2 linked regions of the Ovis aries genome follow. The protein of the gene in region 1 purifies or fractionates together with the protein of each later gene. This does not show direct contact. Links are inferred from orthologs where the notes say so. Each region holds a gene or a part of one and is shown on either strand. Other genes may lie near its edges. The genes, in order: IBTK and RPP25L.

Region 1 (4,249 bases):
CATTGCTAGCTGCTTTGTGCGTGAATATAAAAGTCATCAAACATAGCTTATTTTCAAAATCACTTTAATGTTTACATTATAAATTAGTTTTTGTTACCTGTCAAAGAAGGGCACCTAGAATAAGGGGCGAAGAGACAAAACAGAGCTAGTTATTCTCTTCACTAACCAGCTGGGTGTCTTTAGGCTTCCACAAGGCAGGCTCCTGAATGAGTTCAGCTGAATGGGCCGTCCCAAAGAAGACATTTAGTCCAACTCTGTCGTTTTACAGATGAGAGAGATTAAATGGCTTGTATAACTGACCACGTGGCAGAGCCGCACAGCTACCTCCTGACTTCGAGTTGTTTGTTCTGAGTCACCCAGCCCTCCCCGAACAAACACTGACCGGGCCCTACAGTATTAGGCATTCCCAGGCAGGGTGTTTCTTTTTCGCTACCCTAGTATCGATTATTGGCTGCTTGCTTTTCCTCCCTCATTTTTCACGCGACTGTTTTAAAAAACGGCCCTTCCGTGCGGAGTTAAAGGGCCGCAAAAAGGATAGAGCCAGCCTGGCGTCAGGCAGAGTGACCGGCGGGCGCCGGGTCGGCGGCTGGACCCGCACAGCCATGATCTAAGAAGTCCCTGACGCCTTCTGACCCAGGGAGTGACCCCCCGCCCCCGGATCATCTGGGTGTGGGAGGCGCGATGCTGCCTCTCTGCCAGACCGCGCCCTGAGCTTTTCAGTGACCCCACTGGTAGGGCGTCGGGGAGGAAACTCAGGTGCCGGGTGCCTACGCCTTTGGTTTCTGTTGCGTGATGACCAAGGGATCCGTCCAGGTTCCCCAAGTTCAGTCTCTCCACCAGGGTTTATCGTGAGCTGCCAAGTCTCCGGCTGTGGGGGCGAACAGGATTTCTCCTTGGGCGACAGCTGACGCGAGGCGGACATTTCCACCACCCCCGTTGGTTTAAGAGTCCCCGACCGCGGCCTTCCCCAACCCCGCCGTCCCCCTCTGCACACCCCCACCCGCCAGCGCTGGCAGTCCCAAGGCCGGCGGGGTCAAGTTCCTTTAGGGCGCCAGGGCAAGGCCACAGTTTCGGTGCTGCCACGCGAGGCCTTCTGAGCAGACACTAGCCAATCCTCAAGAGGCATACAAGAGCCCCAACCAATCAGCGCCCGTCTTATTCCTAGGTCCCGCCCGCGCCGGCCTTTCCTCCCGGACCCACCTCCCACCCCCCTTCCAGGCGCCTGTAGACGCGGCTGTAGCTGCAGCCGCCTTCAGAGCTGACCCGGGCCTGGGGACCGGCTTCCACTGGCGCCCTTCGCTTTCTCCTGCTGCTTTCACTGAGGATGAGTCCCTGCGCTGCCGTGCGCCCACCCCGCGGAGACCACTGGCGTATTTTCATCTAGCGACTGGTGAGGGAGGCTTCGGCCGCGCCCGGCCGTATGGAGCCGGGCAGAGGCGACGGGACGGTGTGATCTTCCCGCAGGGTGCGGGGGACAGCGGGCAGGGGACTCGGCGGCGCCGAGGCCGCCGGGCTCCGCGCGAGGCGGCGCGAGGCCGGCCGTGTGGCCCGGGTCCCAGCGGCCACCTCCCCGCCTCCTCCCCGAGCTAATGAATGGTGTGTGCGGGCAGCGCGCTACTTAGCGGTTCTCCTGCCACGCCTTCCAGCGACGTCGCGCTGCTCGTTTCTGGTGGTTGTCTCCTGTCACTGTCCCTCGAGCGTGAATGTGAAGCCATTCCTCGAGGCGCCCGTATCCCTCAGCCCCTTCGTCGCGTCACAGAAGTTTTGGTTCACTCTGGGGATGCTAACGATGAAGTGCAGAGTGAAGCGACTGTTCTGTGAAAGGGACCCGTTCTTTTCTTGGGGGATGGAGGAGACAGGATAGAGGCCTTCTGTTCTTGTATCATGTTGCGGATTTCTAAAAGCAAAAATAAAGTTTTAGTTCAGCAGCGAAATAAGTAACCCAGGATTTCCGTGAATCCGTATTTCCAGCGTAGGTAATAAAACGTAAAGGGTGTTCACCAGACAGGTCAGGAAGTAGAAATTGATGTGACACCTCCCCCCCCCCCCTGCGGGCCCCCCCCCCCATGCATGGAAGGTAGGGAGTTTTAAAGTCGAAATTTATCAGAAATGATAAAAGAACCAGTGTTTCTATGCCCGTGATGTCCAAATTCATATCCTGCCATAGATCCTTGATCTTTTCACTGCCCCCCCCCACCTTTTTTAACTTTTTAATTTTTATTTATTTGGCTGCACTGGTCTTAGTTGGGGCATCTGGGATCTACCTCCCTGACCAGTGATGAAACCTGGACTCCCTGCACTGGGAGCCCAGCATCCTAGCCACTGGACTACTAGGGAAGTCCCTGCCCTTTCTAATTTGAATTCCTTGATTTTTATGGATTTTAGAAACTGATACAGGGCAGAAAGAGCTGCTTTCTAAAAAGAATTATAGTATAGATCCTTGCAGAAAGTACAGATATTTAGTCAAAGCAGCTTATTTCAAGGAATTTTAAAAAGTGGCTCTTCTGTTATTTAAAAAAATTTTTTAAAAACTTGTGTCCATGGCTCTCAGTATGCTAAATTGTACATTATGCTTCAAGACCATAAAGTTCAATAGACCATATTACATAAGGAGCTAAGTGTTACTTGGTTAATTTTTATAAATGATTTCAAAGTTAGCTTATTATTATTATTTTTAATCTTTTGGTCATGTCCTGTGTCATGTGGGATCTTAGTTCCCCAACTAGGACCAGGGATAAAACCTGTACCCCTTGCAGTGGAGCACAGAATCTTAACCACTGGAGGGACCTATTATTATCATTAATAGGGTGGTAATTCTTTGCCATCTCCAGAGATGTGCTTGCCCCCTTAAATTTGGGGAATTGTTCAATTGTGAAACTGGGTTTTGTGCTAATACAGTGTTGAATTTTTTCTCTTGTACCCAGAGAATAATTGAGAAAACATTAGAATGAAATACAGTATTGATAAAGGTAAATTATTTGCTAAAGTAGTAAGTCTTGATGTTTTAAAATTAGGTGAAATATTTTCAGGGCTTACAGAAGGAATTTAAAATTTTAAATATTCTTTGATTATAAGTCACTATAATTTGTAGCTTTGTAACAGTTAACATAGATACAAGTCTTTAGGGAGGATATTTTGATTTTAGAGAGCTCTTCAAAAAAAATCCTACTGGTTGAATACATATTATAATTTTGTGGGAAATATAGGTTAGTATGGCATTCCCTTCCCACCCTTCAGGAACTTAAAATCTTTGTAGGCAAGGTCTCCACTCATAAGGCAAGTTGTTATCATTTTACAGATGAAGAAATTTGGATTAGGGAGATTAAGCTACTTGAACAGGGTTTTAGATGGTAGGAATCCAATTTTTTTTTTTTTTTCCCAAGTGAAACATGTATTTATTAGGCAGAAAAGAGTTGTGCCCTCATGGTAGTTTGAATTACTTTTTAGGCCTTCCGGGTTTCATTTTGCCAGTCATTTTGATTTGCCTGCTTCTGAGTCTGTATTTAGTATAGCTTAGAAACTTCCCATGTGTGCCTGCTCATCTCTTAGCCAAGATGGATTCTAGTGCAGAGGCTTATGGGTAGTTGACATCACTTACTGTGAGGTGATGCCTCCTCCCTTTTTGACCTCTAAGGAGCCTTTCATGTGTAGACCGCAAGGTCGCCTTAACTTCAAGAATGAGGAATAAGCGGTCTTTTATTTCTTATCTGGGAAGGGCCCAGACTCTTCCATTGTCCTGCTTTTATGGAGTTTCTGGTATTTATGGAGTTTCTGTCCACAGGGGAGAAATTGTTCAGCTCAATTCAGTCGCTCAGTCATGTCCGACTCTGCGACCCCATGAACCACAGCCTGCTAGGCCTCCCTGTCTATCACCAACTCCTGGAGTTCACCCAAACCCATGTCCATTGAGTCGGTGATGCCATCCAAACCATCTTATCCTTTGTTGTCCCCTTCTCCTCCTGCCCTCAATCTTTCCCAGCATCAGGGTCTTTTCAAATGAGTCAGCTCTTCGCATCAGGTGGCCAAAGTATTGGAGTTTCAGCTTCAGCATCAGTCCTTCCAATGAACACCCAGGACTCATCTCTTTAGGATGGACTGGTTGGATCTCCTTGCAGTCCAAGGGACTCTCAAGTGTCTTCTCCAACACCAAAGTTCAAAAGCATCAATTCTTCGGCACTCAGCTTTCTTTATAGTCCAACTCTCATATCCATACATGACCACTGGAAAAACCATAGCCTTGACTAAATGG
Region 2 (4,310 bases), on another chromosome or scaffold:
TTTGCTCTTTGCACCTCCTCCCCTCATCAGTATCCTGTTCCAGTGACAATAAAACTGTAGAGGTCACTGCAGGAGTGTGTTGGCTTCCTGGTCTTGGATGGGTATGGTGGTGGGGATGAGGGTGGTGGAGGCCAGAGTTGTCCATCTTCCTAGGAGTTGGACCACCAGCTATACTTATCCTAGTCTAGCTTTCTGGGAGATATAGAGCTCTCAGGATGAATGCTCTCATTTGCTTGATGTGAGTGGAACATTTGGTTTTATATCTATTTATCCCACATTTACCAAGTACACTCTAAATGTCAGATGCCATACCAGGTGGGGAGGTCACAGGTAGGGTCCACCTGATCCCTGCCCTGAACAGGATAGCAGGGGAAACAGTCATGGAAAAGGGGAGGGAACCATGTGGCACAAGGGTTCTTTGGGGGCACAGAAGAAAAGGATGTGGCAGGTAGCTCTGGAGAGTGATATGCAGGGTCTTTGAGAACCAAGGGAGCAGCATGTGCAAAGGAGAGGGGAGCCTCTATGTTGCTCTCCTGATGCTATAAGAGAAGGGGAGCCTAAAAGAGGATGCAGAGGGCTTTTGGGCTGGGGCGGGGCGGGGCGGTGCTGTGGCTGGAAAGGAGGGAGAGTTGGCATATTAGCAAAGAAACCGATGGCACCTCACTCCACCAAGTGTTTGCTGTCCCCTTGTGGTCTCCGGGACTGCTGCGGCTCCAGGCCCCTTTACGTCGACCTGCCCGCCACCGTACCGGCGCGGTCTCATTGGCATCTCAAATCCAACAAGTCTGAAACTGAGCCATCCTAGGCTCTTCCCTCCATCCGAAGAGTCGCCAAACCCACCTCGTAGTATCTTCCAACTTAATTTCCTTTTCCCCATTCCCAGTGTTGTTTCTCTGGCTCATTCTTTCAACAAATGCTTTATCAAATATTCGAGCACGTATAGGCAGGGCAACTTACGAAGCACCGCGGACATGCCCCTGGGACGTGCGGCCAGGAGTCACCAGAGGGAGGCCCGAGAGCTGCCCACACGAACAAGTCTGACTTGCGCCTTGATGAAAGCCCCCTGTGGGTCGCCAGTGCCCACAGGGTGAGGCTGAAGTTCAGAACTCGGTGATCTAGGCTCTCGCCCCCGCAGCGGCCACATCACCCGGCACCTCTAGCTCCGGTCCAAAGAGAAACCCGCCACTCTGCCTCTGCTACTGCGGTGTGCTCAGCGGGTAACGCCTGCCCTGAATCTTCTAAGGGCCAAATCCTCCGCATCCTTCCGACGCGGACTTCGGACGCGGGACTCCTCTGCTGGCCGCTCCTCTCCCCCGCAGCGCTCTCTCCGCTCGCAAAGGAATGCTCCTTGCCTGGGGCAGAACAGCAAAGACACCCTGCGTGCAGCGAATCCTCGCGTCCGGGGCCAGCTCACTCCCTGGCGTCCGGAACCTCTCGGTTTGCGAACCCGGCCCCTCAGGCCCCGCCCCGTCCGGCGTGCGCGGCCCCGCGACCTCGGCGCGCTTTCGGCCCGCGCCATCTTGGCTTCAGATCGAGCGTAGGGAGTGCGCGGCCGCGGCGGTGAGAGCCGGAGCCCTGCGGGGCAGGGGCGCCTAGAGGTGCGAGGAGGAGAGGGAAGGCCGGGTGCTGGGCCTCTGCGGTGGCCCGTGGCGGTGGGCACCACGGAGCCCGGCCTCTCGTGGCCCCGACGCCAGGGGTGGCCCGAGCAGTCGTTGGCGTCAAGCCTCTGCTTCCCAGTGTCTGAGGGACCCTCGGTTGAGGGGATCGACCCTGGAATCTCTGGATGAGAGAGGGGTGCCCGACCCTGTCCTCGGGGTCCAGGAGTTGGGGAGAGGATCGTTTCTGTCTTTGAGGAGCTTTTGGATGAAGGCTCATGGCTCCGTTTGGTGGAGCATGGGGTGTGGGGGGCGGGGAGGGGGGAGCTTGGCCCTGACCTCTGGGAGCACGAAGTGAGGCGCCTTTGCCCTGGCGCCCCGTGGAGAGCCCAGGGTGAGGAGCACTCAGCCTTGTGCTTAGGGAGTCTCGGGTGAGGGCCTGGATCCAGTCCCCAGGAGCCCCAGATGAGAAAGGTTCATTCCCAGTGCCAGGGAGCTAGAGATGGAGAGGCTTGGCCGGTGTTCAGGGTCGGTGGAGGGTTATGGCCCTGTCCAGAGGACTGGGGTACATGCCCCCCTAGGGGGAGGCAGGCATGACTCCTTGTCCTGGGGATGAGGGGTTTAAAGTCCCATTTCTGGGAAATCTGGGCGGAGCAGCACCCTCGGGTGGGGGTCGCCTGGGACACAGTGCCCACCATCCTTTGACTTCCCTGCAGCAGGGCAGCAAGGCGGACACGACAGCAGGCTGGATGGAGCACTACCGGAAAGCTGGCTCTGTGGAACTCCCCGCACCTTCCCCGATGCCCCAGCTGCCTCCTGATACCCTGGAGATGCGGGTCCGAGCTGGCAGCAAGATCCGCAACCTCTTGGGCTTGGCGCTGGAGCGGCTGGAGGGCGGCAGCGCTCGCCACGTGGTATTCTCAGGCTCTGGCCGCGCTGCAGGCAAGGCTGTCAGCTGTGCTGAGATTGTCAAACGGCGGGTACCAGGCTTGTACCAGCTTACCAAGCTGCGCTTCCTGCAGACCGAGGACAGCTGGGTGCCTACCTCACCTGACACGGGCCTGGATCCCCTCACGGTCCGCAGCCATGTGCCTGCAGTGTGGGTGCTGCTGAGTCGAGACCCCCTGGACCCCAATGAGTATGGCTACCAGCCCCCTGGGGCACCCCCTGACCTCGGGCCCACACCTGCCTCCAGCTGTGGCCCTCAGCCTAGAAGAAGGGCTCGAGATACCCGGTTCTGAGGACCTGTGGGCAAGCTGTTGTCTAGACTGTCTAGGATGGCTGTACCTTTGAGAAGCCTCTAACTGCTCAAGGTCTCCAACAAAACTTGAGTTTAGGAAAGTGGGCCTCCCTGTCCTGCTTCCCCTTCCCTCTGGCTCCTGGAAAGGGACTCTCGTGAAGAGTGACAGGTGTGGAGTCTCTGCCGGGTTCTAGATTGCTTAAGAAGCAACATCCTAAGTCAATGTGTAGGTCAACTTGCCACAGCATAAATAAAATAAAATATTATGTAGAGAAAGAAGAAGGGTTACTCTGCCTTTTACATACAGTGCCTCTCATCTGTCTTCTGACAGAGATCCAAGGAGTGAGTTAGGAAATAAAGGCTCTGTCTGTCTGATGAACCTCTGCTTGGCCTGCTGTGTGGAAGTAGGGTTAAGGGAGTGGGAGTCCCTGCCCTTGACCGCCAGGAGCTCCCAGTCTGGAGACAGGAAAAGTAGGTTCAGATGGGTGCTGGGAGGATCTGGACTGAAGATGCAGCCTCAAGCAGTAACCTGACTGTCTAGATCCCTGGGTAGCTATCTGCTTCCTGTTTGGGGCTGGTTGAAGGACTCTGCATTTTTCTCCACCTGCAGCATAGAGACATACCTCATTTTGTTGCACGCAGATACTACATTTCTTACAGAAGAAGTGAAGTTCTGTGGCAGACCTGCACTGAACAAGTCTGGCAACACCATTTTTCCAACAGTGTTCATTTCGTGTCTCTGTCACATTTTGGTAATTCTCAAAATATCTCAAACTTTAATTATTATATTTGTTATAGTGATCTATGATGTTACTACTGTAACTTAGTGAAAACTCAAATGATGGTTAGCATTTTTTAGCAATAAAATATTTTAAAATTAAGGTATATATGTAGATTGTTTTTTAGCTATAATTCTGTCACATTCATAATAGACTACAATATAGGGCTTCCCTGGTGGCTAGAGGTTGAAACCTCTGCCTCCAATGTGGGAAACCCGCGTTCAATCCCTGGGTCGGGAAGATCCCCTAGAGAAGGAAATGGTAACCCACTCCAGTATTCTTGCCTGGAGAATCCCATGGACAGAGAAGCCTGGTAGGCTACAGTCCACGGGGTCGCAAAGAGTCAGACACGACTGAGCGACTTCACTTCACTTCTTAGAGTAAACATAACTTTTTTAAGCACTGGGGAACCAATAAACTTCTGTGACTTGCACTATAGAGATCTTCCTTTTATTGAGGTGGTCTGGGACTGCACCCAAATGTCTCTGTGAAGTATGCCTATATTACAATATAGTGGTTGAGATCATGGCCTTGGTCACCAAGCTGTCTGGATTTGAATCCTGGGTCTGCCACTTATTAGGTAGTTACTGCTCTGCGCTTTAGTGTTCTCATCATCCATAGAACAAGATGTAGTGCTTGCCTTGAAGGATTGTTATGAGGATTAAATGTAGAAATATACATATGATTCTTAGATAT

The links.
Region 2: the proteins of IBTK (region 1) and RPP25L purify together in Homo sapiens (co-immunoprecipitation; 3 studies listed by BioGRID and IntAct, with this or other methods). This does not show direct contact. The link is inferred for Ovis aries from reciprocal best matches to the Homo sapiens genes IBTK and RPP25L.

What each region holds. Positions count from the first base shown.
Region 1 is NC_056061.1:9,383,900-9,388,148, reverse strand, and holds the start of IBTK (inhibitor of Bruton tyrosine kinase), read left to right. Parts: upstream 1-1,216; 5' UTR 1,217-1,390; intron 1,391-4,249. UniProt on the Homo sapiens protein: Acts as an inhibitor of BTK tyrosine kinase activity, thereby playing a role in B-cell development. Down-regulates BTK kinase activity, leading to interference with BTK-mediated calcium mobilization and NF-kappa-B-driven transcription.
Region 2 is NC_056055.1:36,953,801-36,958,110, forward strand, and holds RPP25L (ribonuclease P protein subunit p25-like protein), read left to right. Parts: upstream 1-1,517; 5' UTR 1,518-1,560; exon of another isoform or gene 1,561-1,598; intron 1,599-2,311; exon of another isoform or gene 2,312-2,314; 5' UTR 2,315-2,344; coding exon 2,345-2,836; 3' UTR 2,837-3,716; downstream 3,717-4,310. UniProt on the Homo sapiens protein: May be a component of ribonuclease P or MRP.